Linked DNA regions of Oreochromis niloticus. The protein of the gene in region 3 binds, or shares a complex with, the protein of the main gene of each other region. Links are inferred from orthologs where the notes say so. Each region holds a gene or a part of one and is shown on either strand. Other genes may lie near its edges. The genes, in order: gar1, wrap53, tert and nhp2.

Region 1 (7,859 bases), on a different chromosome or scaffold from region 3:
GTATTCTACAGTGAACAAGTGACTGTAGCATATTTTTCTTTTGCACAATTCTGTAGGATTACAAACACTTCTACACAATGGAAATGTGAAACGTACGTATTCAGTGTCTCAGTTACTCCCAAGACTCCCATAACATCTACAGTGACTTCACTGCACATTTCAGATGGCTGTACAGGTAGGCCATAGTGCTGTCGTCAGCATTTTCAGGTGTCACCAATTGTTTTTGCAATGGGAAACACTGAAATTATAAACTGTCATAGTGGAAACATGACAATGCCATTTGACTATCTTGTTCATACAGATGGTGTCAAGACTTTTCATTTTGATGGCACTGGCAGTTTCATTGACATGGATACTTGCTTTTGCGGTATGGATAATCAATTCTGTGCATGTGACGTGCTTTTGCAGGCTATCCACTAGGTTTTGCAGTTTGCACTAATTGTTTTGGGAAATGCACTAACTGCTGTGCAAATGTTGATGGTGTTCTGAGAAACGCACCAAAGCGACTGAGAAAAACTGTAAGGTCACACTATACCAAATAGTATTTAAATTTTTATGTCCTGGGAAATAAGTTTCTGAAATTATTTCTAAAGATCAATCAAACTGAATCTAGTGATTTGTTTAATCAAACAGAACATGTTAGACAGAAGTTAAAGATTTGAAAATACTTTTCTTACATATAAACAATTTTGTCCCTAAATAGCAATTCAGTCCTGATATTTATGGCTAAGTAGACTTTTCTGTTGTTGTTTATGTACACATATGAAAGGTCTCACCTTTTACCACTTTTTAAAAGGTCAAAGGCCTTATTGATTTGAACCAGCGGGAGCTTCTCCGTAATAAACTCATCCAGTTTCAACTTGTGATTCATGTAGTCATCCACCAGTTTAGGCACATCCTTCACACTCTTCCACCCTTTAGAAAAAGTTAACAAGCTCAACTTGTAAACATGTTTTCATGTAATATGAATTGCACTGTTGTAAGACCGTCCTGTGGTCACATTCACAGCCAATTCGCTGCACATCAGATGTGAGTTTGATGTGCTCATAGTACATGAAACATATGTAAATTTATTGTTACAAATTGTAAAAGTGATTATATAGTTTATGTAGGATATACCTAACTGTCTGTCCTCACTGAACTTCTTATATACGTTTTGAACTCAGGAACCAAAAACTGTTGGTTATTTTGACAGAAATTTAGATGATTCATCGATTGTTTAATTTATTAACTGAGCACAACTCAAGACTTTTTACGTATTCTCATTTTTCTGTGGGTTATTAAATCGTACTTCAATAATATTTAGGTTCAGGAATGTTGATCAGAGAAAACAAGCAATGATTGTTTTGAATGCTTTACCTAAAAAAAATTAATAAAATAAAATTATATTACAACCAAAGCAGTTGTAATATAATTTTTAACACATTTTAACTATTAATAATCCAATAGCAAAGTTTTTTACCCCAACATGACATTACATTTTGCCCTGGCGGACAACATTAGGGACAGTTTTTCAGGATGATACACTCAATTTTATGTTCATCACTCAAATCTACATTTACACCAGAAATGCAATTAAATAATCTAATATGTATGGTAATTTTTGTTTACTTCACCTCCAAAATAAGTGCCCTTTAAGGTACGTCCCATGAGAAGCTTTTCAACTGAAATGCTCATTGTTTCTGTCTCTGTCCATCCAGCAATGACACAAGTACCCCAGGCATCTCTTGTGGACTCAAGTGCAGCATTCTATGGTGACAGAAGCAGTTGCTTAACTAATTATCATTTTGTATTTGTATCATTATCTAACTCTTTCACTTGTGTCACTTTTTGCAAAAGAGATCAAATCTAGGTTAACAAAGAAGACATTGTACAGTGTACTCTAATTATAGTCACAAGACTTAATTTGCATTGACACAATTGCATGCCAAATTTCAAATGAGGCACCCACCATGATAGCTGGACTTCCAACACACTCCAGCGCATAGTCCACACCTCCACCCGTCATCTCCACCACAACCTCTTGGATAGGCTTGCTGTAATCTCTTGGGTTTATACAGTCTGTCGCTCCAAACTGTCGGGCTTTCTCAAACTTGTCAGGGTTGATGTCAACCCCGATGATCCTTCTCGCAATGGCAACCTTGCAACCCATGACGGCAGCCAGCCCAACAGCTCCAAGCCCAAAAACGGCACACGAGGAATCTTTTTCAACCTGAATGCACAAAAGTTGGAAGCCAGTCAGCTAATAGTTCTTAAAGATCATTTCAGCGTTTTCACAGATAATTTTTACAGCAAATATAACATTTAGAGTACATTCCTTTAAACACATACATGAGATATTATCAGGTCTGTGAATCTTGATTAAAACTATGTCTAAATAAATAACCCATGCAAGGATTTCCACGCATTTTTAGTTGGTTTCTTTTTAGTAATGGAGTACAAAAGTGTCCTGATTTTGTCATTTTATTTATGTTAATGTGTGTGGACCTACTTTTGGCTGCTCCCTTATTCACAACGGGTCACCTCAGTGACTTTGGCGATTTTTAAAGCAGATTCCTTTCCACATGCAGCCAACACAGGAACATGTATTTCACATGTTATACAAATGTGTAAACCATTGCACTATGGAACTATTTTACATTATTTGAATTTGTGTAAAGTAGTTGACATGTACACCTTATCCAGAAAACTTAGTGGCACTCGTGTCATTTCTGCCCTCTAGTGTTGATATTAAATGACTACAGTCTTGCAGCATATTGTAAACATAAAAAAGCAAAAAACTTCCAGATACAAATATCACTATTTTTTCTTTTTTTTTTTGGTTAAAATATCCTTGGCTGTTTATATATTGTCATGTTCATCAATATATCTTTTGAAATTTGTTGCTTCGTCACATCTGTTCTAAGAGTATTAGTTTGAACCTTTCGAATTCAGTTTTCTAACCTTGCCTGCATTAATAGCAGCTCCATAACCAGTGGAGACACCACATCCAAGCAGACAGACTTTGTCTAGCGGTGCATCGCTTCTTATCTTTGCAACCGAAGTGTCAGGGACCACAGTGTATTGAGAGAAAGAACTGACTCCAAGGAACTGGTAAACCTGCTGTCCCTTGCAAGATATCCTGCTAGTCCCATCAGCCAAAACTCCAGCTTGCATATTTGTCCTAAAAGACACATAGAACAGTATTTACGTGAACACATTTTAAGTAATAGAGTAAACGTGGTTGTCTCAAAAATGGGGAAATAAAATCACCAGTTTTTCTTGCAATGATTTGTTTTTGGACTTAGACAGCGTTCACATTCCCCACAGTATGGCAGAAAAAGAGGAATAACTTTGTCTCCTGCGAAAACAACGAAACAATTATGTAAGTCTGAGAAGAAAAAAAAAAGAGAAATAAGATTCATAACAAATGTCATCTGACTGGTTGTGGTACACTTTACCCGGGGAGACTCTAGTGACTTCTGGACCAATGCTCTCCACTATGCCAGCTGCCTCGTGACCAAGTACTAAAGGGAATGGTCTGAATTTCATCCCTTTTCCAGTCTCAAACAGGTATTCCCAGTCTGTGTGGCACACACCCGTGGCAACAACCTGTACAAACCAAATGATGTGCCAAATGATGTGACAGTTTCAGGAAGTGGAAGTAGTCTGTGGTTAACAGTCACACTAACAGGAAATAAAATAATCATATGTAAATCATACTTATTGTTGTATTGCTGACAAATTTGAGCTGTGCCCAACCTTAATTCGGACTTCATGAGCTTTAGGTGGTGCCACCTCCACTTCTTCAATACAAAGAGGCTTCCCGGGCTCCCACGCAACAGCTGCCTTGCATGTGATCACCTAAAGGGGAAAAAAACCCAAACCAAAACAAATATGTTTCCAAAGATGAGTGACTGTGTTTGGGCGCAGTTACAGATGCAAACAAACAATGAACACTCTCCATGACAGAAAACTTTAGAATGAAAAGCAGAACCCCCAAAAGCAACAGTAGCTGTTTATAAGACAAACAGTAAAAAAGAAAAAAAAAAGCTTAAAAACAACTTTTTTCTTACCTTTCCATCTGTTGCCATTGTTGGCAGATGATGTCTTCATATAAAACAGCCTGTATTTGAACAAAAAATTTAAATAAAGGAATAATTAAATCTGCACTTGTCACCAAAACAGCTTCGAGTTACATTATATCAACATTTGAGTGGGTAAAGTTGAACTGACCGAGTCAAACAGCAGACAGGTTGCGCCCTCTTCTAATTCTAGTTTTTCTTCAATGGTTTAGCTCTGTCAGCGCATTTACGACACTTTCCGAGACCGCCCCTTGCCTTTACGGCACGTTATGGTCACACGTGTTGTAGTCGCATGGAAGTTGGCACAGCGGTCTGAAGTCTAGGCAGTCGGTCAAATTTGTGAGTAATTGTCTTTATCTGTGCAAAATCCGAGTTGCGCACTTTTTCGGTGTGTATATTTTTTCAACGACTACGTATCGTGTTGGTTTATGTTAGAAAACTCCGATGGATTTTCGTACTTTTAATAACTGAGTTGTGCTAACGTAAGCTAACCACTTCAGCTAGCATAAGCAATAGCTTCCAAGTCAGCATAGTTTGCCCGAATCATGGGCAGGCTAATTCATTCATAAGTGTTTAGCTTCAAGCATGAACTCACGTGAGCTGTGTCGTCTTTGTGTTTTTATAATTTCTTATTTACAGTGCATTTGAGGAGAATGTCTTTCAGAGGAGGAGGACGAGGTGGTGGAAGAGGTGGAGGTTTCAACCGAGGTGGTGGAGGATTTGGACGAGGTGGAGGAGGATTCGGTGGAGGCAGAGGTGGTGGAGGATTTGGACGGGGTGGTGGAGGATTTGGACGGGGTGGTGGAAGAGGGGGTTTTAACAGACAGCAAGATTATGGACCTCCTGAGTATGTTGTTGGTAAGCCCAGAGCTCACAAAACGCTAAACCGAGTGTTTCTTTATACACATGTGAAGCTAACCTTTTACCACAGCTTCGCGTGAATTCTCAGACAATGAGATGCAAGCAAACCGTCTTGATATTGCCAAAAAACTGACTCTGTAATATTACCATTACACAGTTATGGGGAAGTGGTGTGGCTGAGTAGGTAGGCTGTGACAATTTTGTCCTCATCAAAGATGGAGACTATCCCAAGGATATGGAAAACAAGACCTGTGTCCTGTTGCTCTTCTTGGTGCATTGTACTGTAAAGTCACCACGAACTAGTCTGTGCAGTCACAAAAAAACAAACAAACAAACAACAAAAAAGAAAGGCAGGCATGCAGATGTCCACACACACCATCTTGCCTGAATCTATGTAAAGGCCATGTAACCTATGTAAGATGACATTATCGTGCCAGCATTTACCATGTTAATTACTTTTGTGGTAGAGTCCTGGCAGTTTACATGTGGTGCCAGTCACGATAGAAACAAACAAAATACCAGAAAGTTTTTTTCCCCTTCTGGCTTGCCACTCTTTGCTTTGTCATTTTTATATTTGTTCCTCTAGTATTTCCACATCTTTGTACATTTCCCTAGTGTCCATTCCAATAGTTTTGACAATCTCCTTCTAGGAATTTGCTGCCATTTGTGAGTCCGTATTATGGTTTTTATTCCTTTAACAGATCCTTATATTATTATTCTGTCATTGATAAATTCTAGCACTGCATCAAAAAAGTAGCCAGAAATGCATAGGCGAAATCAACGGTATTCAACAGGCCAATCATGGTAGTAGTGGCAGTGTTGATGTGACATGTAATTATATTTCTATGTAGGTGCATATCAGTTTATCAGGGTAGGTTACATTATAGGGTTTCTCAGCGTCTGCTATGTACACTATTGCCCACTGAAGCATAAATTTCCAGTCAGTGTTAGCAGGCAACTCTAAAACAACGGTGGACCTTTGGGTGTGTGTGAATGGAGAACTTCAGTAAATATTCTATGTGACAAGAGTATGAAGTTAATACACCGTGTGTCACCTACATGAGGAATTCAAGATCCAGTTCATGTTAATTAACTTTAACTACATGTTTCCAAGTTGTCCTAAATACACCAGAAAACAATTATATTTCAAAGATGTTAAATAATATTAGTAATAGTATTATTAATATAATAGTAGTGGTGGTGGTGGTGGTGGTAGTAGTAGTAGTAAGAATAGTAATAATAAAATGAGCAATATGTAAGTGTTTAAATTCAAACTGCATTACAGACAAAAGATCAATCTTTTATATATTTAATGATCATCCCACAAAATGTGAATATAACATGCTGTACCAGGAGTTAGGTTGCCATCTAATATATTTTAAGTCCACATTGTAATATTGTTAAAGATGTATCTGTGTTTCTACTCATTGGGCTGTTCAGAAACAGATTTTTTTTCCAACTTATTTGATCTTTTTGTTTTTATATGTTTATATTCTAGTGCCTCAAAGTTTCTGTTTTAGCATATATTCTGGGTCACTTCCTTTAACCCCCATTTATTCCCCTGGCCTCCAAAGAATTTCAGACGTACAGAAACCTTGTGCTAGATGCCCATAAAGTGAACTGCAGAGCAGTCAAGCATATGCTGACTTATTATAACCAGACAGAAATTTAAATTGGTTGTCAGTCATGGTATTGCACGTCTTAAACTTTAACTGTTTCATTGTCTTCACACCCTTCACAGCACTGGGAGAGTTCATGCATCCATGTGAAGATGACATTGTCTGCAAGTGCACAACAGAGGAAAACAAGGTTCCCTATTTCAATGCCCCAGTGTACTTGGAAAACAAGGAGCAGATTGGGAAGGTGGATGAGATATTTGGCCAACTCAGAGACTTTGTATCCTTTCTATTGTCTTTGTTTTTCTCCAAACCTTTGATTGAACTGGTGGTGGGGATCTGTTTGACATTGTCAGTGTTCTTGTTGCTTCCTTAACCCATCTTTGCAGTATTTCTCAGTAAAACTTTCTGAAAATATGAAGGCGTCTTCATTCAAGAAACTACAAAAGGTACCAAAAATGTCTCAAAGTTTTCTAGTGATTAATTTAATACCTCAGATTTCTAACCAAAATGTTGGCTTTTAGTTTTATATAGATCCAATGAAGCTACTACCACTGCAGAGATTCCTCCCGAGGCCACCAGGAGAAAAGGGGCCTCCAAGAGGAGGCAGAGGAGGGGGTAGAGGTGGAGGAAGGGGTGGTGGTCGTGGAGGTAAGATGGCATTCTCATTTTAATTTAATCTTCTGGCTAAGTGTTTAGAATAGATAACAAAACAGACATTTGTGTTTTTGTTTTTCTCTAGGAATTATGCTCAGTTTTTGCTCAGTATTTACTTTTGTAGATTGAACATGGAAATAAAGCCTAATGCATATTTAGAGTATGGCATGCAAGAGTAGTTTGATTAATTTTACTTTCTTTTTGTCTCAGGTGGTTTTCGAGGAGGCAGAGGTGGAGGAGGAGGCAGAGGTGGAGGAGGAGGCCGTGGTGGAGGAGGCTTCAGAGGAAGAGGAGGTGGCGGTGGTGGACGTGGATTCAGAGGTTGGCAGGTTTTCTATCGTCTTACAATGTTATGGTTATTTCCCCTGGTGTGTAACATGGTTTGTTTATAATATCTGAACTTCGTTGTTCTTTTGTTTTCTTATAGGTGGGAGATGATCTGACTCTGATGGTTCATTGTGACGATCACATAATATGTTCACTCTCGCAGCTAAAAGGCTATGATCTGTGTCAGATCCTGGCCTGTTGGACTCATATGAACATCGTCTCTATTTGTAGAGTTGATATTCTTATTCTATTTTTATTTTTTTTATTTTTTTACCAGTTTTGGAAGATTGCTGGATCTTCAAGATTTGTATCTAAAATGTATTCTTGTAGCTGG
Region 2 (8,365 bases), on a different chromosome or scaffold from region 3:
TTTGATAATGACGAGTTTTCTTTTTTAAATGAAAAATATATATAAATATATACATTATATACAAAGTTTAAAAAGTATTTGGACTAAGATGAGCACTTGGGGCTGCTATTTTTGTTGTGTGTTTTTAATTTTCTTTTCCTTAATTTTTTTTTTTTCATTTTTTGCCATGTGAAGTGTGTATTATTTTTCTTTTCTTAAGAAAATATTGAATGTATTCCAAAAAAAAAAATGACAAGAAACCCGTGCTGATACAAGATTTTGTTTTTGTTCCTCAGAAGATTTCAAAAATGGAAACAAAACCGAAAAAAGCTTCAAAGAGTTGAGCGGGGTCTTTTTTTTTTTTCTTTTTTCATTTACACAGTGGAGGAGAGAGAAAAAACTCGAGATGGATACAGTTGAACACACTGCCTCTACAATCCTGGTCGTACAAATGGTGACTAAAGAAAGGACTCTTTCTATTCCATACTGGAGCTTTGGTTGTTTACAAGCCACATGGATATCTGTGGGTGCAGTTTTATTCTTTTGTTTTATCTTTTTTTTGTTCCCACATGAGACGGGTGGGGTTTGCAAGTGCGCTTCTGCCATAAGGACATTGAGTGGTGTGGTGGTGTTTTTGTTTTTGTTTATTTTGTTTCGTTGTTTTTGAGGAAGAGTGGCAGGCATCACAACAACATGGACAGGATCCTCTAACTGGATCTGTGTCGTGGGTCCTGAGACTTGATCAGCTGTGGAGCGGAGGCAGAAAAATCAAGGATGGGGCTGTGTTTTGTGGAGAACCGAGTGCAGGGCTGCAGAACCCTGGAGGGGGAACTTGAGAGGACGATGTGAGCGCACCCGTTCGGTGCCCTCGTCTTCACCTCGGCCCTCGAAAGCACTCGCACCCTGCCCTCACCGACTCACCTATGCACTTTTGTTCATTCAAGCTGTGAGGTACAATTTTGGGGATGGGAGCACAATTACAACAGGAGGATTGCTACGACTTTGACAAAGTCACTGAAAAAGAAATTCCCAAACTGAAATAAGAGACTCGAGAAGCTCGTCTTCTCCCACCTCCTGTACATAACCATATTTTTGTATTACCTTTCAGAGTAGAAAGAAAAAAATGCAAAATGGATGAAGGAAAATTCATTGATTATATGGAGTGAATGTTCTTCAAGAAAACCAATCTTTTTTTAAAAAAAAATCTAGTTTGAGATGGGACTCGCTGAGAGTTTAGTTTGCCAGTAGCCCTGAAGTAATCGGGGAAGGAACGTAAAACCACATGGACTGAGGTGGTGGCCATGCTGCAGTGGCTCCAAGACTGACTGATAGCTACTTATCAAAATGGATGTTGCAGTGGCTACAAAGAGCCCACCAAGAGTGTTTGATCAACACGCACAGTAAAGAGATGGACACTGATGACAGCCTCAAGAGCTGCAGAGTGACCACCGGAGGACAAGTGCTTGGCATTGGTAAGATGTTCTTCCAGAATTTTGTTTTTATCCTTTTTGTTTTTGTTTAATGCTTTTGTACAGTGTTAATTTTCACAGCAAATTTAGTCTATTGACCAAAACTTTTAATTTTAGTCATAATTTAGGTGCTTAAATTATTTTAGTTGACTAAATATAAGACTATAGTAAATCTAAAATCGTCGTGTTTTTACTGGTGAGCGGCGCTCCACATGTTTTTGCAAAACCTCTTATTTTCCTTGACACGTGTCTTCTCTTCCTCTCAAGCCTCAACATTGTTGCTTTTTCATGACAAAACAAGGATGGGAGTTAGTTGTCGTTTCCCGCCACCTCAAAAAAAATAAAGAAAACGTACTGTTTCCCGGGGCAGATCAAATTTGTGCGTCTAACCTTACTGCACGAGGAGATTACTTAATTTAATGAATTGGTTCTGATTGGATCTAGTCTCTCCAGAATATCTTAATCTTGTTATTTGCTGATGAAAGACAATAACATTTTCATTTAGTTATTGTCTTGTTTCCATCAGCAGTAAAAAGGTTGCTGACAAACAATGACAAAAATTATTGGTCAGTGAAGCTTTCGTAAAGTTACAGGTTGCTTTCCGCACCTTCATGGATTTGTTAAATTAACTGATAATTTACCATGGCAAATTTAAAATTGTGGTAGATGATCATTGTAAGGCTGTAATAAAACTGGATGTAGCAGCCAGAATAAAAAGGTAAGCCAGTGTAGTGTTGCCGTAACTCGCATTCTCGCTAACGTCCAGCAGAGGGCGTTTGGAAGGCTACAAGATAAAATTAAGCTTTAGTGTGACTTTATAAGTCCTTCCTGGTGAAAGACTTTGTGGTCTCGTGGGCATTTCCAGTCTTGCTGAAACTTAATGTTCATTTAACAAATTTTGGTGCCGGTTAGCCTGAAAAAGTGGGGTAGCCTGTGAGTCTGCTCTGATGTCTCAATAAGTGCTGACCCTTGTTCATCACAAAAACATCACAGTGGAAATATTCAGCTCAAGGCTTCACAACAGAACTTTTGCAGGCAATGAATAACAGTTGCCACTTCCATCATTTATATACAGTCCTGTCCTCTGTTAATGCCTGTGTCCAAGTTTTGCTGATGATATCTTGCGCTCTTTCTGTGTTTTCACAGGAGTCTGGCTGTGCTTTATTTGCTGCCCTCTGCAAGGAGGATCTTCTCTACAGCCAGCCCATGAACCAGTGAACCCTAAACCTGTCCCTTTGAACTTAGACCCTAAGAAACTTTTTTTGACCTCAGTCTGGGCAGGCCAATGGCATTATACGTTGGACAGATGAAGTTACAGGTTTATCAGCTCTTCATCCCCTTTTTGCTGGAAGTGTTTGGTTAAGGATTTAATCTCACACTCCATCTAAGAAGAGGATACAAAGGCTTGCGTTGCCCAGAAGTTCATCATCTACCCCAGCCGGAAAACTCTCGGATGGTGGTCTTAAAGGTCTTCTAGCCATTAGGACCGACAAGCCGCTCTCCTGCCCAGATGTCAGAGACAGTGTGCTGGGACGAGTTTTGGTGGACATGGCCGGATTACATCTCAGCCATCGCAAAAGGCTGCAGCTGTGGAACTGGATGAACTGAAAGAATTGTACAAGGAAAAAAAGGACTTTTGAAAACAAAACACAAAACTATCATATGTCTCACAAATTCTCAAGTCCAAAGGAGCAGGCAGACACACTACATGCACACTCACAGCTAAAGTTACATTGGCTCTCCTCTGGAACAATGTCTACACACATGCATACACACACCAGAGATACACAATATCAAACAACACAAAGACACACAAGCATCAACGCCCAGCAGCATAAACGCTGAGCTTTGTAAATAATGTAAAAGTTTGTGTTTTTGAGTTTTCTCCATAATGGCTTTTGCTTTATTTCTCTGTTCAACATGCCTTAAATTGTATAGTTCAGTCTGAAATGGCTTACTGAAAACATTCTCAGTTTAAGTTGGAAACCACCTCGTTAACTGTACTCTAAAGAAGGTTTTAACAAGACGTCTGTTCGCTGACAGACTTGTCCTGTATAAAAGTGTAAATGTGATCTACTTAAAAGATACTAGTTAACTAAAGAATAGAGCAATGAGGGCTTTTTGGTTGATCTAATTTTACTGGTGGTTGGATTTTTGTTGCCCTTTTTTTTTTTCATTTTGATTCAAATAAAGTGTGGATTCGTTGAGATTTCCTATTTAGATTACTGCTGAAGGTGCAGGCTTGACAAAGGGCTGAAGTCTGTGCTGCCTGGAGCTGGGCTTACTGGGTAATATGCAGAGGTTCATCTCAGAGCACGCGCTTGTTGCTGTGTCGTATCTGTCGTTGGATACAGTCCTCGGCAAAACTGAACCAGAATGGCAGGTCGTCCTCAAATTGATTTGTTTTCTTTACACTCCAGGGGAATAAAATGTTTTAGGAGTTGGATCTTTTTACAGTTTTGACATAGTGATTCACACTTGTCTAATAGGAGTGCTTGTAAGAACAAGCATGTATGATTGTTGGTAATATTTGTGGGTTTGACACTAAAATCTGTATCTAGTAGTGCTGCTGACCATCAGTGATGGCACTGAATCGATACAGAAGCAACCGGGCTGTGGTGTGTCTGAAATCTGAAAGGTCTTCTCGGACCGCGTCTTTACTCTGTCTCATTGAATTTAAGAGATTCGTGTTTTTAGTCATTCTGTAGCTTTTGTTTTTTCCTTCTTTATAACCAAACATATGCAGTTTTTTATCCAAATGGAAACTGATGTTTATTGAATACCGTCAGTTTAGACTTGTTAAACGTTTCTGATCAACTGTGGGTGTGCTGTGCAGTTTTCTTCTATAGGTAAGTGAAATAGCCACAGTTGGCATCGTCATCGTATATCATAACTGTTGAATTGATATTGAATTATTATTTCTTAAAATGTTATCACATTTTTTAAAAAGCTGATACTGTGATGGATGAATCATCAGTCTATTTTACTGCACTACAAAAGCTTTTATGATCAGAGAAACCACAGTATTGTTTCTAAAGACCCTGGTTGATGAGCAGCTTGACCCGCCTGCTTCAGGATAGAAAGTATAGATGTAAAGATTACCTGGTTCAGTTTTGCTGGTTACTGTAATACCGACTGTAATGATGGACTCATGGTTATACCCCAGTCAGCCCAGCTCTTTCACTTAAATACGTCTTTGAATGTTGGTAAAATAACAGCATACATGTTATGAAAATGTTTTGGAAAAGAACTGAAAAGAAGTGTAAATAGTTTTGCTTTTGTTTGAAGAACAAAATAAATACTAAATAAATAGCATTTAGCTGTGACCGACTCTGTGTGTGTTCTTTAGTTATCTATGAAGTTTGAGTAAAAAGCCGAGAAGACATCTTGTTATGAATCACGCCTATCCGCACATAAGAGATTCACCACTCACTGAGCGCGTCTCGTCCAATGAACTCTCGCGATAGTTTGAAGCACATGGCCGCCCGCAGTGTTTACAACTCGTAATGAGATGGTGAAGGGAAACAAAGTCCCGAAGCAGAAAGACGTCGATTAGTTTTGTGTGTTCGGTCCTTTTCTCCGGCTTTTGGTGAAACTCTGATTCCGCGGTTTTTGCTTTTCGGCCAAACCGCGAACACAACTAAAGGCCAGGCAAGCCACAACACAGGTATATAGCATCAGATTGCTAACGTAGGCTAATGCTAACTTGGGCTAAAGTGTGCGCTCCGATGTGAAGGGACGCTCAATAAGAAGCTAAAGCAAATTTCGCTAATTGATTTATTTGCCAGAATCATTCACTATGCATAATAGCAACCGGGCGTGTAGGAAGTAATATGTACCACTCAAGCTTTAACTTGACCAAATAGACGTGAATGCTAGTTTGGTGAGGCAGCTGGCAGTCACGACTAGCCACAGGTGTGTGCTGTGAGGCAGTGACGTGCTCCTCTCACAGCAGCTGCACGTTCACTTTATCGTCAGTCTGACTTAACGGTTTTTTCCTGGTTTTCGTGAACGTGCTCTCATGCTCTTCCGTTGTTTTGACGGGCTCATTGTTGGTCTCGCTTTTCTCGTCTTCATGTTTTCTCTACTCACTGTTTCCTAGGCTGGTGGGTGCTGTGATGTCCTCGTACCCCAACAGACTCAAACATCCACACTGCAGGAGGAAGCACTACCCCAGTAGCACCTACCTCACCCACGTCTGACAGCCGACCGCTGGACACCGGGCGCTTGAAAGCTGGGTGGAGGGCTTCACGGGAGAGAGAGGGGGAGGTAAACAAAGATGTCAGACTCTGCGGGAGGTGGTGAAAGTGGAGGTGGTGCAGGGCAGGACTCCGAAGCAGATAATGAACCCCCTCAACAGCCTCCACCTTTACTGCCTGGAGGTGCAGGGGAGATCTCAAAGGAAGGGGCTTCGCCATCTGCCAAGAGGCTGAGGATGATTGAGGAGGATGTGGGGCAGGATCAGGTTGTGGAGCCTGTTCAGAGGCATGAAGAAACACCAACACAGCCTAGCTCGTTGCAGGGAAGGCCAGCCCAAAGAGCAGAAGGTACAGGATTGTTTCTGTTTTAATTCAAGCTAATATGCATATATTAATATAGATTAAGATTACAGTTGACCTGTGTTTAATCTGGCTTCTGTTGCCAGGAGCAGGAGACCTGCTGCAGTGTGAGGAGGGAGGTCACAGTGGGAAAGGGGTAGTAGTCGTCGGGGAAGAAGGAGAATACCATCAAAATGGAGAAGAAGGGCCAAAACCAGAGGAGGAACACAACGATGATGGATCTGCAGAAAGCCCCGGTGACGGACAACAGTACGTGGAAGAAAAAAAGGTTTAAATGTAGAGCAAGTTTGCGATATTTAGGCAGAGTTGACATACAAGATGTGCATTCATAAAATTGCAGAAACTGCTAGAAGAGATCCGAGAAGCTTCTTCAGTTCTAGGGTCAAATGGTGGCGAGTCCCAGATTTAAGCCCTGTGGGAGTGTCCCCCGAGAGGGACAAAAGGACCCCCTGTTGATCCTCTACCTAATCATTTTCACACCTTGGCTCATGCCATTAGGTAGAGGATCAACAGGGGGTCCTTTTGTCCCTCTCGGGGGGATACTCCCACAGGGCTTAAATCTGGGACTCTCCACCATTTGACCCTAGAACTGAAGAAGCTTCTCGGATGAGAGGTGAAAAGTCTTCAAGCAACTTAAAGAAGTCCAGACGCTTTTCTTTCTAAGCTCTTTAGACCATTGGCTAATGACTTTTCAATCAAAAGAATCAACCAGTGAGTGTGCAGTTTCACGGTCTAGACACAATCTCATCTGGCCTTTTGCACCCAAGATGGCGACAGTGGAAACGCTCATCTTGTGGCTTCAGTGCAGGACTTCAAAAACCAGCAGGTAGCTTCACAATAGCTGTCTTTGTGAACAACAGGTGGGCGGGGCTTCTGTACTCACAGCCAGAGCTGCGTCCCTGAAATGACCACAACAGTGGTATTCCCTGTCATACAAGTCGCAAGAGTAGAAGAACCTCTCTGAAACGGAGCATTTAGAACAGTGTTTGTTTAACACTGTTTTTTCTTCATGCTATGAAAAACATAGGGTCATACTGTGATACATGAAATCTCCGACTAGGTGTTTGTTTGTCCCCCAACTCCTTCTAGGTGACCCGGAGCTGAGTAACCAAACTTATATCTTGGGCCTCTGAAGGTTCTTATCTGTATTGGACATTATAACAACATCATGTTGCCTAGTAACTACATTAAAATTATCTGCCTAGTCACCAAAATCCTTTGCATAAAACATCAAACAAGAATTTAAGGTGACAGGATGTATTGCATGTGTCAGGTATGGTCCTCCCATACTCCAGAGGCATGCATGTGGGGTTAATCGGTCATTCTAAATAAGGTGAGACTCTGTGCATGAACGAGTTTCAGTCTCTCTGTGGTGGAAGCACAACCTGTCTTGGTTGTAACCTCTAGTCCTATGTGAGCCATGATAGGCTCCAGCCCTCAACTATATAAGCAGTGCAGAACTTGGTTGAGTGGATAGACGCCATGTACCGATGGGAAGTTCTAAAACGATTAACAGTCTAATCAATGCAGTCAACATGTGTTTGAAGCTTTAAGTTTATCAGTGACAGTGAGAGTGTCGTGTGTAATGATGTGTTGTTAGATGTTGATAAGTGCTTTTTTTAATTGACACTCATGTTTAAGTGGGGCAGCTAAAAGCACCAGAGCATTAACTGATTCATCATTTTGAGACTGTCAGTCATCATTATGCTAAAATTTGGAGAAAATGACCCAGGATGAAAAATAATGTAGTCAACTAATAGGAATCTAATTAACAATCAGCTGTAGTGGCACTGTGTGTAAATGAAGCAGCTTATTACTTGGAAGTTTCCACTGTGTTTTATATACAGAGCATGTTTGTCTGAGGCTGGGGACTTCATTGGATGATGTGTGCCTAAAATAGCAATGAGCTTTTAAATGGTCTTCAATTATAAACCTTTAAGTGCTCATCTGTTAATAAATGTGAGATATAGCTTTTAGTGAGCTTGTTGGGAGCCCCTCTTTGACCAAGGACGTCCTTGTCTCTCTGTCTCCAGGCTCAGCTTAGATTTTACCCAGAACCCTCAAATGCTGACTGGTTCCTGGACCGAGTACTCCAACCTGCCGGAGAACTACCTGAAAGGCTGCAAATGGTAAATTCTTTTTTATATATTAAGAAAACATTGCGAGGGGCATATTCATGGTTATTACATATTGGGCTTAGACACAAAAACAAGGCGACTAAGGGTTTGAAATGGATACTGTGTGCATCTGCAGGGAGGCTGAGAGGTAGGTAGCACTGGGGTGCCACTATATTTGAGTTTTGCCGATGGACTTCGAGTTCTCAGAAAGGCATCAGATCAACGTGAGGTTCCATCATTG
Region 3 (7,617 bases):
AGGTGACAGGGCTTGGCCAATCACCTCTATGAGTTTGTCATGCGGCAAACTCTCATAGGCTCCACTCACGTCCACCTTAAACGAAGAGGAAAAGCTAAATTATATATTACCTGTACAGTATGTCCATATTATTGTGCAGAAATTTACAGCTGTATTATCCTTAAAATAAATAGAAAGCTCTCTGCCAAACAATTAAATTCACCTTAACAAAATAGAGGGGTTGTGGTTTTTCCTTCTGCGCTGGTGCCAAAGAGCACAAAACCTTGTGGATGTCAGTCATCCCCCACACTGTGGACCCCAGCAGTGATGGAGTGGCACGCACACAGGCCCGCAGCATATCCAGCAAGTCCCTGACACGGCCTCGGTAGAGCTGTAGGGAGGAAAAAAAAGTTGAAAATCCAGCCCACAGCATGTAATAACAGACAAGTCTGAGGTAATTGTCGGTGCGTACCCTTGTTTTGGCATCTGCTCCTATGACTCGTGTGATGGGCCTCATGCCATCAGTCTTGGGAATAAAGCGAAGGCGGGAGATGACGGTGCCTTTGGGCAGGGATGCCACCTGAGCTGGAGTCAGCTCTTCCATCTGGCCTTTGGAAAGGTGACCTCTACATGAAAAGCAAATTTTGTTCCCTTTTTTGGACGTATGCCTCATGTCTGTATGTATGCTGGCTACTGTAGTAATGTTGTGTGAGTGTACCTGAAGGCCAAGTCTTGCAGTTTGGCCCAGACTTCCTGCCTGTAGAACCTGATGGCGTTTTTTTGCCCAATACTCTCTGTTGCATAGAAACAGGCTCTCACAAGGCCTGTAACATATCCATCCAGAAGCCAAGCCAAGAACTGACCCAGGACCTGTGTCCGATACGCAAGCTCGCTGGGTGGAAAACAGCCTGCAGACGAGTTACGTTGGTTCGGTCAGGCATGAAACACGAAGCAATCAAAAAGAAAAAAAAAAAAAAGATCATTGATGATAACCTCACCTGTTTTACTCCTCTTCAACCAATCACAGTCATTCACCTTTATCTTCCACATCAGTTCAGCCAGTGAGAGCCTCTCAAACTTGCCACTTCGCAAGAAAGTCCTGACCCTGGCAAAGAAATGCAGCCGGTTTTGATCAGAGCCCCACAGTTCTTGCGGGATCACAGAAGAGAGGCATTCCCGGACAAACAGGTAAACCCTGTGCGGTGCACAGTGCTGAGGTAAGAGTGAGTTTAGTTCTCCCTGTCCTGCATTGCTCTCCTCTATTGATGGACATAACCTCTGTAGTATTTTGGTGTAGGAACAGCTCCTGTGTTGTTGTAAGAGCTGCCTAAACAGGGGGACCATGCCAAAGAACCTCTGGGGGAGTTTTTTAGGCTTCCTCTCTACTCCATTCAAATACGCTAGTCCCTCGAAGAAGACTATTCTTACCAGATCTTGTCCTTGAAGCCTTCTGGATCCATGAGCAGTCTTCTTCCTCCTGTTAAGAAGAAAGCCACGCATGCCCCTGCCCCCATACAGGAATCCCAGGGTGCGGATAAAACATTGCGAGGGTGGTAAAGGGGGGAAAATCCCTGATCTCCAACTAGGACCGCCCTCCAATGTTGGCATTTCAACAGGCTGTTTGAAAGCTGCAGGCGGTGCTGATTCCACAGGCACAACCTGTCCTTCCTTTTCAGAGCCAACTGGTTGGATCGCCTGTTGATGTTCTATAGACGCTACTCGCCGCCTCTTTCTTGAACAAACCGCCACCTCCTCCTCTTCACCAGTTTCCCGTTTTCTTTTCCCTTTTTTCCCTCCTTTATTCCTTCTTTTCATCTTCTTGCTTGCAGCAGGATTCACAACTGTGCGTTTCTGTTTCAAACTCACTGACCCTCGACAGCTCTCAATCTTGGTACGATTATGTTTCCTGACTCCAGGCTGGAGAAAAAACCCACTCGAGGCCATGGTCATGGACACCCTGTCATAGACTGGAGGGCCGCACACCTGGAAAACACACGAAGGAGGAACTGCCACAAACACAGAGCAGCTCTCCAGAAGATATTGCGTGATGTCTGTGCCCAGACGCATTGTGACTTTTTTCCACAGGTCACTGCCGTGGATGTAGGCAGCACTCTGTGTTACGTCGCCTTGGAATTTGAGGAAGTCTGCATCCCGATCCTCCTGAGCCAGGGTCTGAAAGTTATAGCCATGTGCCAAGACATTCCTTTTTCTTTTTCTTTTTAGAGTGTTGAGAACAAACGCCAGTAGTTCAGGCAGACTGCAGATCTGTGGAAAGTATGAATATATAAGAAGAAGCCATCTCCCATTAAGCTGTTAAACCCTGACAAAGGCAAAACTTCAGACTCTCTTATAAACCTGTCAGCTTACTGATGTGTGCATCTATACCACAAGTCTCATTTCAATATAATATAACTCTATGCTATATTAGCCCGGAGACTGCTACAAAACAATACTCTGAGTTCTTTATTCTTCTATGTGATTAAAATTGATTCAAAGTTACCATTTTCTTTACTAACTAAAACCAGAGCCATTAAATCAAAGAGTCATGGCACTCGAAAGATCCTGAAATGAAATATTCCACGTATAACTTAGCACAGTGAAAACCCTTTTACAATATTATTGTGGGGCCCACCCCGTGTCCCCGTGTAGAGCCGGACGAATATATCGGCTGATATTAACTATCTGTCATTATAACTGGATACATTTAAACATGTCTAATAAAGGAGAAATGGGGGGGGAAGTGCCCCAGAAGAAAAAAGAAGACCTTGCTGAAGCTTAAATATCCTCCAGCAGCGCATAGTTTTCTCCCAGCTTAGTTTCAATATACATATATATATATATATATATATATATTCAAAATATAGGAGTGTAACATGGTTTCCTGGCTTTAACATTATAACAGCATGGCAGGCAGAGTTAGCTACACCGCTTCAAACGTCCACAGAGGGCTGCGTATCAACTCCTCAGGACTAACCTGGGAAATGTACATGTATATTTTTCAATCCGGCGAAACGTTACCTGTTTACAGCTCGCTACCTGCTGTAGCTCCTTGTCAAAGCACACAAAAACACTCCTAACGAAAGATTTGAATCGGTTTGTATCTGTCTGCTCAATGAGAGCTGCTTTCTGTCCTTCTCTGAACACGATGCTGTCCGAAAACTCCTCCAGTGTCTGCGTGTGCCGGTACAGTAACCGAAGGATATCCAGCACACCGGACATATCAGTCGCAGACATACCGACTGTGTTCGGAGCACTTGGACGGAGGTTAGCTACTTTACACTGGGATTTAGCTATGTTTGACCTTTTAAGGGCCCGCGTCATGCTTAGCCTATGGGAAAGCGCTTTATTGGAGCTGGCCAATCAAAAGTCCTCATACTAAAGGGGGGAAATTTACTGTTGACCAATGACAAACAGGTAAAGGCTTGTTGTCTTTTGGCACGAGTGTAGTGAAAAAGTGACAGTATCACGTGCGATTTGAACCAATACATTAAAATGAGAACTGCTCACCAGAGATCATTCATTCTGTCACGCGCATTATATGCGCACCACAGGCGGTTAAAGCGACATATTTCTGTGACCTTAAAATTACATTTTAATTAAAAAAACGCAAACAGCAGCTTTCAGAAGAACAACAACGATAGTGCTCTACCTGATGTGCATCTGCTAAAGTCCAGACAAATCCCCCAAGAAACACAATAACCACACGGGTGGTGTTTACCTTCATAAATTCCAGTTTGTAACAGTATATTTTACTAAGGATAACAATACATTAGCCATCGAAATTACTTGCAGCTGCACCGGAGTCTGCGATAGCCACGCGCACAGGTGCTGCGCCGTAATTGGTGGGAAGACGCCCCTCTTTGTACCGAGCGCGCGAATGCACCCACGTCTCTCACAGTCGGCTGCTCGGTTAGCTAGTTCTTAGCGTGCCGTTGTACCTCCGGTGGTTTAAACGGTACCGGGGGTTTGCAGGCACACCGGAGAACCAGCTTGGACGAGGCTCAAGGGGCTGTACACCTTAACCACACCTCAGCTCTCAGTTTTCTGTCAGCTACGTGGGAGAAACATAATGGCAGACAAGGAAGGTAAGTGAGTATTTTAGTTGTCAGCAAAAAGAAACGATTCTGTTTGACGCCCCTCAGCTAGTTGCCCGGTTAGCTTAGGTGGCAGCTAGGGCAAGCTGCCCGTAGCTCTTGTGTTTTACTCTATAACAGTCAACACAAGCGGGGATAATTTAAGAGTGTGAAGGTGAACTTTACTGATGTCAAAGCTCAGTTATTGTTTGGGCACCGTCTCTGAAAAGTTGGGGTAATGATTTGTGTGTGAATACCGGGCAGAGGTGAAGAAATGAGTTCACATCTTATGGTTATGCTAACGCTGTAGCAAGGTGCGGGAACAATGAGAAGTTTCTCATAACACTGATAAATACCGAGGCCTTGTCAGGTTAACAGTCAAATCATTTGATAGCGAAATTTGTCGACTGTAAAGACCAACTTTTAAAGGTTGTTGTTGATTAACTGTAACAGAAATAAATCTAGTAACATCAACATTTAATATTAAACTAACAGCTTGAGTTAGTGAAAGCTATGGACATATCTGATGGGTGTTTGTAACTAAATAAAAAGTACAGTATTACTGTGTGTCCAATTATCATCGCTGGTTCTGTGACAATTTTGTCCTCAGCTGGTGCTTTTGATGATGCGGTGGAGGAGAGGGTCATCAATGAAGAGTACAAGATCTGGAAGAAAAACACCCCCTTTCTTTACGACCTGGTTATGACCCATGCCTTAGAGTGGCCCAGCCTGACTGTTCAGTGGTTACCTGACGTCTCAAGGTGGAAGCGTTTACACATTTGGCCGGTAATATATCTCAAACATGCAAGAAATTGGCATTAATGCATTAAAAACCTTTTTTTTTTTTCTCCCTACCAGGCCCGAGGGGAAGGATTACAGCGTACACAGGCTCGTTTTGGGCACTCACACTTCTGATGAGCAGAATCACCTGGTTATTGCTAGCGTGCAGCTGCCCAATGATGATGCCCAGTTTGACGCCTCACACTACGACAGTGAAAAAGGAGGTTGGTATATTGATAAAGAGAATGTATAATGCATTTACTTCATATTTTATATACTTATAGCCTGCAAACATATTTCTCTATATTTCCCTGAAGAGTTTGGAGGCTTTGGCTCAGTAAACGGCAAGATTGAGATTGAAATCAAGATCAATCACGAAGGAGAAGTGAACCGTGCCCGCTATATGCCCCAGAACCCCTGCATCATTGCCACTAAGACCCCCACCTCAGATGTGCTGGTGTTTGATTACACCAAGCATCCCTCAAAGCCAGGTGCAACAGTCACACAAAGCACAACACACTGCTGAAGATGGCATGTTCTTGAGTACGTTATGAAAAAGTGCATTGTAATTGGTAGCTTACTGGTATTAAAACAATTATACAACTTCACCAAAACATAAATACTGGGCGCACAGAGTCGCTACTCAAAAACAAACTTGTCTGTTCAGTTCTTTTAAAACCACACCTCTCTTCCAGTGTCTCTGAATTGACAGTTGATTTTATTATGTTGTCTTTAGATACTTCAGGAGAGTGTCGCCCTGATCTGCGTCTCAGAGGCCATCAGAAAGAAGGCTATGGTCTATCCTGGAATTCAAATCTGTCAGGAGCTCTTCTTAGTGCGTCAGATGATCACGTAAGAGGAAGTAGTTCTTGTTTTAAGAAGAAATGGCGCTTTCTGTTTTTCATTTTTAGCAGCAGATATTTCCAACTAGGGCTGTTTTACATATTTATGTCATAATAGTTTCAATCACTGTATTTCCAGTACCATAAATAAAAGTAGACTGCTTTGCCAAAAAGTCACACACACTGATATTTTGGTGGGCCGACTTTAGCCTTCATGACCGTTTGCATTCACTGTTTGGTTCCAATCCCTCAAGTTGTCTGTGTGACGTGCACGTGGAAATGCTCTTAATTTAAATATTAAACTGCTCTGTTTTGTTCATTTGCAGTTTCTATTACTGTAGTTATCACATAGCATTATTTCTACAGTTAGGTGATTGAACTAGCATTTCTGGTGCCAGCTGGTGAATTAAATCATTTACTCAGCTGATCCTTTACATCAGGGGTCTCAAACTCCAGTCCTCGAGGGCCGGTGTCCTGCAACTTTTCCATGTGTCCCTGTTGCAACACACCTGAATGCAATTAGTAAGTCATTAGCAAGACACTAGAGAACTTTTAGACTGCATGCTGAGGTGGCAATTCAGCCATTTGATTCATGTTACAGCAGCTTATGAGCGAATGAACGTGGTGCAATAAAAGTACTTTTAGAAGTACATTTTTCCAAACACTTACATTTACGTAAATTTACTTGAGTAGGGGTTAGGGGTTGCCACTTTAGCATGCAGGTGAGTTTTATATTCTGGCTAATTACCTACTAATTTTATTCAGGTGTGTTTGCAATAGGGACACCGGCCCTCCAGGACTGGAGTTTGAGACCCCTGCTTTACATTCATAGCTACAGTGACTTCTAAGTGTTTTTTCCACACAAATGGTGTCATAAACTGACCTCAATGAAATGTCAGGAAGGTATGAAAAAATGTGCACTGCCAAAAACCTGCTGTTAACAATCATTTTCCACTTTTACCACGTTTTTACCAAACTGAAGTGCAAACATGAGGTTTGATGTGTTTATGTGGTTTTTGTTACTTAGACCATCTGTCTGTGGGACATCAGTGCTGTTCCCAAAGAGAGCAGGATAGTAAATGCAAAGACGGTCTTCACCGGTCACAGTGCTGTGGTTGAAGATGTCTCTTGGCATCTGCTTCACGAGTCGCTCTTTGGATCTGTAGCAGACGACCAGAAGCTTATGATGTAAGACTCTCGGTCAAATACCACGCGCAGATGAAGCACACTTACAGTTTTTTCAAATGCAGCAAAAGGATGAGCGTCACCCTGTGTCTTGTCCTTTAAGCTGGGACACTCGTTCAAACAATACCTCCAACGCCAGCCATGCAGTGGAGGCCCACACAGCAGAGGTCAACTGTCTGTCATTTAACCCTTACAGCGAGTTCATCGTTGCCACCGGCTCAGCAGACAAGGTGATACAATATTCCACCACTTCTTAATTGGTACTGCTTTATTAACAGCAGGACTTTTAACTGAGTGCATTTGGTAACTGTTCACTAAATAATCCTGATGGTATTGTTAGTTTTGTAACTGCAGTGTTGTTGCAGAGATCAGAAAATGTTGCAGGCATGTTGTAATATACATCTGTGCCGCCCACAGACCGTGGCTCTTTGGGACTTGAGAAACCTGAAGCTAAAGCTGCATTCCTTTGAGTCACACAAAGATGAGATCTTTCAGGTAAGATGTTTCTTTATATGAATGAAATTGTACTGAAATAAGGACAGTACCTAATGGTGCAGTGATATAATTTTGTATATTTTATATTCATTTAAATTTAAAAATAAAGCACTGAAATAAATCTTATGTAGTACATGCTTCTTTTGACTCAACCTGCTGCCTTCAGCCTGCAACAGGTTACTAAATTTAAATATTATATTAAAGTAAGTTAGCAGTCTATCTAAATAATATATTTTAACTTCTGCAGCTTTTTTTTTTTTTGT
Region 4 (7,678 bases), on a different chromosome or scaffold from region 3:
GGATTTAAATCCTCCTGCTGGATTAGCCTAGCTTAGCACAAACACTGGCAGTGGATGGAAACTGTTAGCACAGCTGGAGGAAGAACTGTTCCTTTGGGGGTGGGGCTTATGAAGGGGTGGGGGCTTCAGAGGGGTTTGGGCAGGCTGGAAACTTCCTCCAAGCACTCGTCATACGCTTCCTGGTAATCTTCATGAGGTTTGATGAGGATGACGCAGGTCGGCCTCTTCGAGCCCGCAGAGGAACCCAGGTCCTGGAACAGAGTTTCACAATAAGAGTCAGGAAATAAAAAAAGATTTTAAAGTCAGAACTTTCACTGCTATGCAGATGACTCGCAGCTCTATCTATCCATGAAGCCAGGTAACACACACCAATTAGTTAAACTGCAGGAATGTCTTAAAGACATAAAGACCTGGATGGCCGCTAACTTTCTGCTTCTTAATTCAGATCAAACTGAGGTTATTGTACTCGGCCCTGAAAATCTTAGAAATATGGTATCTAAGCAGATTCTTACTCTGGATGGCATTACCTTGGCCTCCAGTAACACTGTGAGGAACCTTGGAGTCATTTTTGACCAGGACATGGTAAATGGTAAAATGGTAAATGGCCTGTATTTGTATAGTGCTTTTACTAGTCCCTAAGGACCCCAAAGCGCTTTACACATCCAGTCATCCACCCATTCACACACTGGTGATGGCAGCTACATTGTAGCCACAGCCACCCTGGGGCGCACTGACAGAGGCGAGGCTGCCGGACACTGGCGCCACCGGGCCCTCTGACCACCACCAGCAGACAACAGGTGAAGTGTCTTGCCCAAGGACACAACGACCGAGACTGTCCCAGCCGGGGCTCGAACCGGCAACCTTCCGATTACAAGGCGAACTCCCAACTCTTGAGCCACGATCGCCCATCGACATGTCCTTCAACGCACATATTAAACAAATATGTAAGACTGCTTTCTTCCATTTGCGCAACATCTCTAAAATTAGAAATATCCTGTCTCAGAGTGATGCTGAAAAACTAGTTCATGCATTTATTACTTCCAGGCTGGACTACTGTAATTCATTATTATCAGGATGTCCTAAAAACTCCCTGAAAAGCCTGTTGTTGTGATTTGTTGCTGTATAAATAAAACTGAATTGGAAGCACACAGACTTTTCAAAATAAGAGAAATTATCCCAACACTAAAAGTCAGGAAATCACAAAAGATTTGAAAATAAGAGTCTGAAGCTGACGCGTGCTCACGTCTCACATGATCAGACGTTCGTTAGTTGATTGGCTGAAGCTCAGCAGGTCATCGACTAATCAGAAGGTTGGTGGTTTGATCTGCATGCAAGAAAGCTTTTCTACTGAAAACGTCTCGATGCACGCTCAATCATCCAGGTAAGTAAATCTGCAAAAGTTGATTCTGGACGTAGCGTTTTCAGTGGTGCTCATGGCCGCTGATCAGTGGTCATGAGAATTTGCATAATTATGATGAAGGAACTGACCTCCCAGCACATTGTTCCTTCAGTGGGCTGGTTTCAGTCATTATGCAAATGTACTGTTTATAAGATTGGGGAAACCTGCAGTCAGCTGAGACTGAAGAAGTCACCTGATGATGATGAAACCTTTCTCCCACTGAAAACATCCAGATGAACAGAATCAACTTTTGCTAAGCTGCTGTTACAGAGGGCGTGGCACACACAGCGCTCTGAGACACACTGGTGTCGACTGTTTGTGCGCGCAGTAACGTTTTCCTGCTGCGCTGAGGAGAGTGCAGCGAGCAGTGCACACACATGCTGTGTGAGCGGCGCTCTGCAAGCACAGACTGAGTTTCAGCCACGCCCATCCAACTTTCACAGAGCAACGCGTTCAGAGCCCGCCCCCATCAGGTGACAGACCTTCAGCACACCTGTCCACTGTCACTCACCACTTTAGACGGGATGTAGGCGTACGGCAGGCTTCTGTCCTCACACATGACGGGCAGGTGGCAGTAGACGTCGATGGGCAGCGTGTCGCCCGCCAGCACCACGATGCTGCAGACACATCAGAAACACATAAATACACCTGTGATCGTCACGAACACCTGGACACACCCGAGGACGTGCTGAAAGGTGCAGCAGCAGCGACTCACCCTTTCTCTCCTTTGTTGATGAACTTCTGAACTTCTTTGACTCCTCGTCGGATGTTCTTCACTTTGGCGGCTGGATGATAGAAGCAGAGACACATTAAACCAGACTCCAGTCAAAAACCTGCAGTTTTAAGCTCAAGTGCAACATGAAGGCTCTGCGCCTTCTTCAAGCCCAGACCAGCTGCAAACTGCATTTAAAGTCAGGAGGAGCACATCTGGATGTTTAAAGCTTTAACATCTGCAGTGTGAACACATCGTTCACATGATTCCCGACAACAAAAGTTCCCTCCCAAACCAAACTGTGAAGGAGATTTCCTCACATACTAAAAACACTTCTGCTAAGCATCAAAATAAAAGCACATGCAGCTGCCTTTTAAAACGCCCAGTGAAACCGGAAGCGGGTCTGACTGAACCTTTCACTGAGGATGAAGCTGTACAAACAGCCGCTGATTTTCCACAGAAAATTACCAATAGATTACAAACTGTGCATCTATAAGCGACGTGTTTACGGCCGAATTAACCAGAGGCTTCAAACGACTCGAACACTTTCTTATTTAAAGTCCTGCATCGACTCTAACAACTGCAGAGCAGAAAGAAATCGTTAAATTCGTGAATTTTTAAACAGAGTTCGGCGCCACAGAACAGTAATCTCCAACATTTCCCGGCCGTTAGCGGGATTCTTCTTCTTCTCACCTTTTTTCACGCATTTGTAGAGCTTCTTGCTGAGCTTTTTGGAGGCCAGCGGCTGAGCGATCGGGTTCAGGTGAGCGATCAGCTCCTGGTACGACCTCTCGGTGCCCCCGGTACCGGCTTCTTCTCCCTCCTCCGAAACTTTCTCCTTCTTCACCTTCGTCATTTTTGATCGATAATCACTGGTAATCGATACCCGTTTGATTGTTTTCTGCTCGGACTCCTGCCTGCTGATCACAACACGCTCACAGAAAAGACCCCACACGTGTTTCAAGCCTCTTTCTCTGCTGTTTGTGAAAACGCTGAACCACAACAGCGCCACCAGCGGCCCGGAGGGCAGCGGCAGCACCTCCCTTCAAAATAAAATACCAAACTTCATTTTTTAGGTTTAGTCAGAATTTTACTGACACTTCAGAAATATTCAGCGTAAATATATATCTATATCTATGTTTATAAAGAGATAAATAATAACATTTAAAAAAGTGAAAGTTTAAGTGGAAAGTTTTGGATTCGGCAAGAAGGAAATAATTTCCCCCTAAAACCTAAAAACCAGCTTCACTGTGTGGACACTCGACAGTTTTCTTTCATTACATGAAGCTAACAAACAAACGCGCACTAAAATTAATTATTGCTCATCAGAATGATCTGAAGAGAGTTCGTTATTAATATTTCCTTATAAACTTAATGATCAGGTTTTATTGCAAAGTGACACGACAATAAAATGAAAAACTGCTAAATGAAAAGTAATGAATGCTTTTGATTCCACATACACAGACACATTATTCAGAGTATTTATTTAATTACATTTGATCTGGAAGAAATTAAAAAAAAGGTTAAATACAATTTCCATTTTTTAAAGTTAAAGGTTTTTATTTTGTCAGTAATGAATTTGGCTAGAAGCCAAACTTGAATTGTGTAAAATCATTTAAATGATTTCATGTAAATTCTGAATCCTGAAATCACCTTCCAAAGCTCACACGAACTGAATATTTGTGCATTGATTAAATATCAGATCTGAGCTGAGCTTCTCTCCACAGTCTCGATTCATCTTTAAGCTCAGTCACAAGCATGAATTTAATTTTAATGAATTTAAGCTAACAACCATTTAAATCGAGTAAACAGATGAACAACAGAACAAAACAACAGATTTGTTAAAAACAAATAAGTGATAAATGCAGTAAACACTGATGATCATTGATTATTGATTTCTGCTGGTGCGGAGCTGGGCTGTGACGGGCCGGTCTGGGGCAATGACTTCATGCTGATGACATCATCACTGGCTGATGATGTCACTGAACATGGTGGGGAGCTTCTGCTTCTTCATCTCGGTGGCCATTTGACACCAAACGCAGGGCAGACAGAAGGTGGAGCACAAACAGTCGGTACAGAGATTCCCCTGAAACAAACAAACGAACGAACAAACAAAGTGAGCCACACTGGCTAACGTTAGCTTAGCGGCTGCTAACTCAAACCAAACGAGCGTCTCAGCGCCACCTCGTGGTCGTACTTTGATGCCGTAGCGCTGACGCAACGACACCCTGATGGACATCGTGATGGGATGGACGCAGCCGAACACGTCCAGCAGGGGGAGACAGAGACACTGACCGAACTGTTTGGTGGTTCGACAGGCGAAGCAGGGACAGCACCAGAAGGCAAAGCAGCCTGGGAACGACAGCAGACGACAAACACAACGTCAAAAACAAACTGAATAACAACATGAAACAAAGTAACACAAAAAACTGAAAAAAAAAGCAACAAATTGCAAACTATAAATAACAAAAATAAAAACAGCATCACTTCAGTTAAATGTTTAATATTACACAACAGGAATGAATTAATTTCTTTATAATTGATTAAAAAAAAGTTCAATCATAAAATATGATTTTGTTTTCTTCTGTTTAACAAATAAACGTATTGTTTACACTTGCAGTCACTACTTAGGTTCAGACGATGTGTTTGTTTTTTAAAGATGTGAGTAAAACCAAGCCAACATCAGCTGATGTGTTAGTCTTTGGATGGATTCACGTCACACACACTGATGATAATTTGATGCTTTTTGAATGGAGTTTGGTGCAGAGCCTTAGCAGCTGTGGGACATTTTTAGGTTTAAACAGATTCAGTCTGAATGAATGAACATGTGACCTCAGCGCTCTTTATTTTCTGATGTATTTAAAACAATAAACTTATTTAAAATCAAAGGAAAACAGATGACAGCTGATGTTGTCTCTGTGAAAACTGATAAATTAAAGAACAAGTCTGTTTGTCTATGTTCAATTAGATTCTTATAATAATTCTTATGAGCTGTTAAAGCGTCAGCTGCATGCTCGTGTCCAGCTGTTAGTCTGGTCCCGAGTGTCGGTGTGGGATCAGTAAAGTCCGCTCTGATTGGATGAAGCGTGTGTGTTACTCTACATTGCTTCTTGTCATCGCAGCAGTCGCAGATCCCTGAAGCCCAATCAGCTTCCAGCGAGGAAACAAAGAGCTGCTGAGGCTGCGTCATCACCGGCTGGCTCATTGTTCACCTGACGACACACAAACACCTGGACTCAGTCACACCTGTGGCACCCGGTCGTTAGTGATCAGCTGTTTGCAGCAGACAGCTCAGTGAAGATTCCAGTTAGTGAAAGTTATAAAGGTCATTTATTAACAGATTCCATAATCATCACAAGTGTGCATTAGTACAAGTTATTCACATGGGTCACTGCCTCCCTGAGTTAGCAGGGTAAAGGTCAAAGTTCAAAGTTCATGACAGGACATGAGAAAAAGATCGAATCCTCTCCTAGAGTTAGGGTGAGGGTGAGGAGCTCCAACCTGAACCGCTGCTCCACATCGAGAGGAGCCAGTCGAGGAGGTTTGGGCTCCTGCTGGGCGTTTGAAGCACGTCGTACTGACGGAGGCCCCAGGACAGAGCCGGGATCACAGCTCCTGGCTGGTGTGAGCGAGGGAAGCCTGGGCTTAGACAGCTGCTGCCACGATCCGGACACAGGTGGCAGGAAATGAATGGATGGAAAAGTATGGCGTGGTTGGAAGAGCTGCCAGGTGAAAGAGCACGCCAGCTTGACTTAGGTTTGCAAAGCTGCACCTGAACCAAAGATCAGAGCTCAGAGAGCTGTGCATGGATGCTGCGACCCTCAATGACCTGCAGCTGTAAAGAAGAGTGGACCAAAACTCGTTCACAGAGATGTGACGCACTGATAAAGTCCCACAGAAACCAGCACTGAGACTTTATCTACAAACTGCACTGTTACAGGAATGCAGAGAGCCGCGTGAGCAACGGGAGAAACAACAACAAGAAACATCCGAGAAAGTCGGCACTAACAGCGCGACGCAGCCACAGAGGAGAGAAGATGTACAGTAGAAACAAACCTCCACGGTCCAAAGAGTCAGGTCCACTTCCTGTTATTTTGAAATGATCACGCAGCTATCACGAGTTCAAGCTTTTACTTTGATATTTTACAAACAGGAAATATGAGGTTACGTTAAACTATGTACACAATTCACACAAACAACATTAAAGTCTTATCAAATCCAAATGTTGCTGCTGAGTTTTGAGAAAACATGAAGCTTGAGGTGTAACTGAGTTCTCATCACCGTCTACACCAGGACTCGAGTGTCCTTGATCCACCACAGCTGATTTAAATGACTAAATTATCTCCTCAACATGTCCTGAAGTTCTCCAGAGGCCTGGTAATGAACGAATCATGTGATTCAGGTGTGCTGACCCAGAGTGAGAACTACAGAGAATCCCCCCCGTTTGTATCCTGTGGACGCAGTGAGGATAAATGAAAATACCAAATATTTCATCACACGCTCTACAGTCATCATCACCAAGCCAAGACTGGGATCAGTGGATGTACACAGACATGGGTAAAATAAGACAATATTTGCATGGAGTTTGGTGTGGAGTTCCACCAGCTGCTCAGGGAACAATTTAAAGGTATAACAACAACATTCATGTGAGGCAACGTGACAGGAATGTTAGATTAACTGTTTCAAACCATCAAAGAAGCAAAGAGCAGCAGACCCACAAACCAGCCAACACACACACAAACCAACAAACCCAGCTGCTGCGACTGAAACCTGAACAATAATGAGATGATATAAAAGCAGAGTGTGATCATCTTACCTGTGTGACTGATGTGGTCGCTCTGATTGGAGAGATGAAGGTTTCGGATAAACCTGATGAACGAGTTCAGGTGGGCGGGGCCTGCTGACTCACCTGCATACTTTTAGATTTAATACATAAATCTGTGGAGAGGTCTCATCTCGTTCATTTAAAATGTGTTAAAAACAAGTTTGATTATTTAGTTAAACTGGTTGAGACATTTGTAATGCAGTTTAACATAAACTGTTGCATTAGTCAGTGCTGAGTGTAACGTGTTATCATCACTCACTACGTTACTATAATCACATTCTCAGTAATGCAGTAAAGTAATGCATTTCATTACTGCAGGACGGACAGCAGAGCAGCAGTGCAGCCACACAGCTGTGCACGTGACTTTTATGTCATTGCTCAAAAGGAGCGCGATGGTAAAATGGAGAGTGCTCCAGGACAGAAGCAGCAGCACTGCTAACACAACTCATGATGTCCGATGGCTCTTCAGTCCAAGACTCTATTTTAGCATCATTTATCAATTCTGAATGTTTTGGGAAAAAGTTTTATTAAAAGCTTTGTTTGAATGCTTTTACTATGGAGAACACACCCGGACAACAGTTTCAATTCTTTTGTCCTCCAGGCCTGCAGCTCTACACTCGCTGTCTTTGGATCTGTCCCCCCCTTCCATATTTGACATAATAGTATGATCCTAGTGTGTCTTTGCATGTGATTGGCTGCACGGTGTGCCCATCAGTACAAAGCACCGCCTGCCTGCATGGGC

What was found.
Region 1: tert (region 3) and gar1 share a complex: the UniProt entries of both Homo sapiens proteins name them as parts of the telomerase holoenzyme complex. The link is inferred for Oreochromis niloticus from reciprocal best matches to the Homo sapiens genes TERT and GAR1.
Region 2: tert (region 3) and wrap53 share a complex: the UniProt entries of both Homo sapiens proteins name them as parts of the telomerase holoenzyme complex. The link is inferred for Oreochromis niloticus from reciprocal best matches to the Homo sapiens genes TERT and WRAP53.
Region 4: tert (region 3) and nhp2 share a complex: the UniProt entries of both Homo sapiens proteins name them as parts of the telomerase holoenzyme complex. The link is inferred for Oreochromis niloticus from reciprocal best matches to the Homo sapiens genes TERT and NHP2.

Annotation. Positions count from the first base shown.
Region 1 is NC_031966.2:13,611,428-13,619,286, forward strand, and holds the start of gar1 (H/ACA ribonucleoprotein complex subunit 1), read left to right. Parts: upstream 1-4,263; 5' UTR 4,264-4,403; intron 4,404-4,703; 5' UTR 4,704-4,717; coding exon 4,718-4,922; intron 4,923-6,666; coding exon 6,667-6,821; intron 6,822-6,930; coding exon 6,931-6,990; intron 6,991-7,065; coding exon 7,066-7,192; intron 7,193-7,408; coding exon 7,409-7,519; intron 7,520-7,625; coding exon 7,626-7,636; 3' UTR 7,637-7,859. Other genes in the region: alcohol dehydrogenase class-3, read right to left, coding at 777-915, 1,617-1,749, 1,952-2,212, 2,944-3,163, 3,253-3,340, 3,441-3,591, 3,742-3,843, 4,056-4,073. UniProt on the Homo sapiens protein: Required for ribosome biogenesis and telomere maintenance. Part of the H/ACA small nucleolar ribonucleoprotein (H/ACA snoRNP) complex, which catalyzes pseudouridylation of rRNA.
Region 2 is NC_031967.2:8,406,780-8,415,144, forward strand, and holds the start of wrap53 (telomerase Cajal body protein 1), read left to right. Parts: upstream 1-4,881; 5' UTR 4,882-5,115; intron 5,116-5,183; exon of another isoform or gene 5,184-5,363; intron 5,364-5,550; 5' UTR 5,551-5,727; coding exon 5,728-5,995; intron 5,996-6,093; coding exon 6,094-6,256; intron 6,257-8,040; coding exon 8,041-8,136; intron 8,137-8,365. UniProt on the Homo sapiens protein: RNA chaperone that plays a key role in telomere maintenance and RNA localization to Cajal bodies. Specifically recognizes and binds the Cajal body box (CAB box) present in both small Cajal body RNAs (scaRNAs) and telomerase RNA template component (TERC).
Region 3 is NC_031985.2:28,040,705-28,048,321, forward strand, and holds the start of tert (telomerase reverse transcriptase), read right to left. Parts: upstream 3,316-7,617; 5' UTR 3,301-3,315; coding exon 2,998-3,300; intron 2,245-2,997; coding exon 978-2,244; intron 888-977; coding exon 698-887; intron 606-697; coding exon 452-605; intron 371-451; coding exon 203-370; intron 76-202; coding exon 1-75. Other genes in the region: histone-binding protein RBBP4, read left to right, coding at 4,049-4,064, 4,663-4,813, 4,911-5,056, 5,150-5,323, 5,569-5,684, 6,702-6,862, 6,963-7,089, 7,277-7,354. UniProt on the Homo sapiens protein: Telomerase is a ribonucleoprotein enzyme essential for the replication of chromosome termini in most eukaryotes. Active in progenitor and cancer cells. Inactive, or very low activity, in normal somatic cells.
Region 4 is NC_031975.2:32,975,960-32,983,637, forward strand, and holds the start of nhp2 (H/ACA ribonucleoprotein complex subunit 2-like protein), read right to left. Parts: upstream 3,110-7,678; 5' UTR 2,968-3,109; coding exon 2,805-2,967; intron 2,185-2,804; coding exon 2,115-2,184; intron 2,017-2,114; coding exon 1,911-2,016; intron 252-1,910; coding exon 126-251; 3' UTR 1-125. Other genes in the region: cornifelin homolog B, read right to left, coding at 4,075-4,197, 4,309-4,463, 5,214-5,316. UniProt on the Homo sapiens protein: Required for ribosome biogenesis and telomere maintenance. Part of the H/ACA small nucleolar ribonucleoprotein (H/ACA snoRNP) complex, which catalyzes pseudouridylation of rRNA.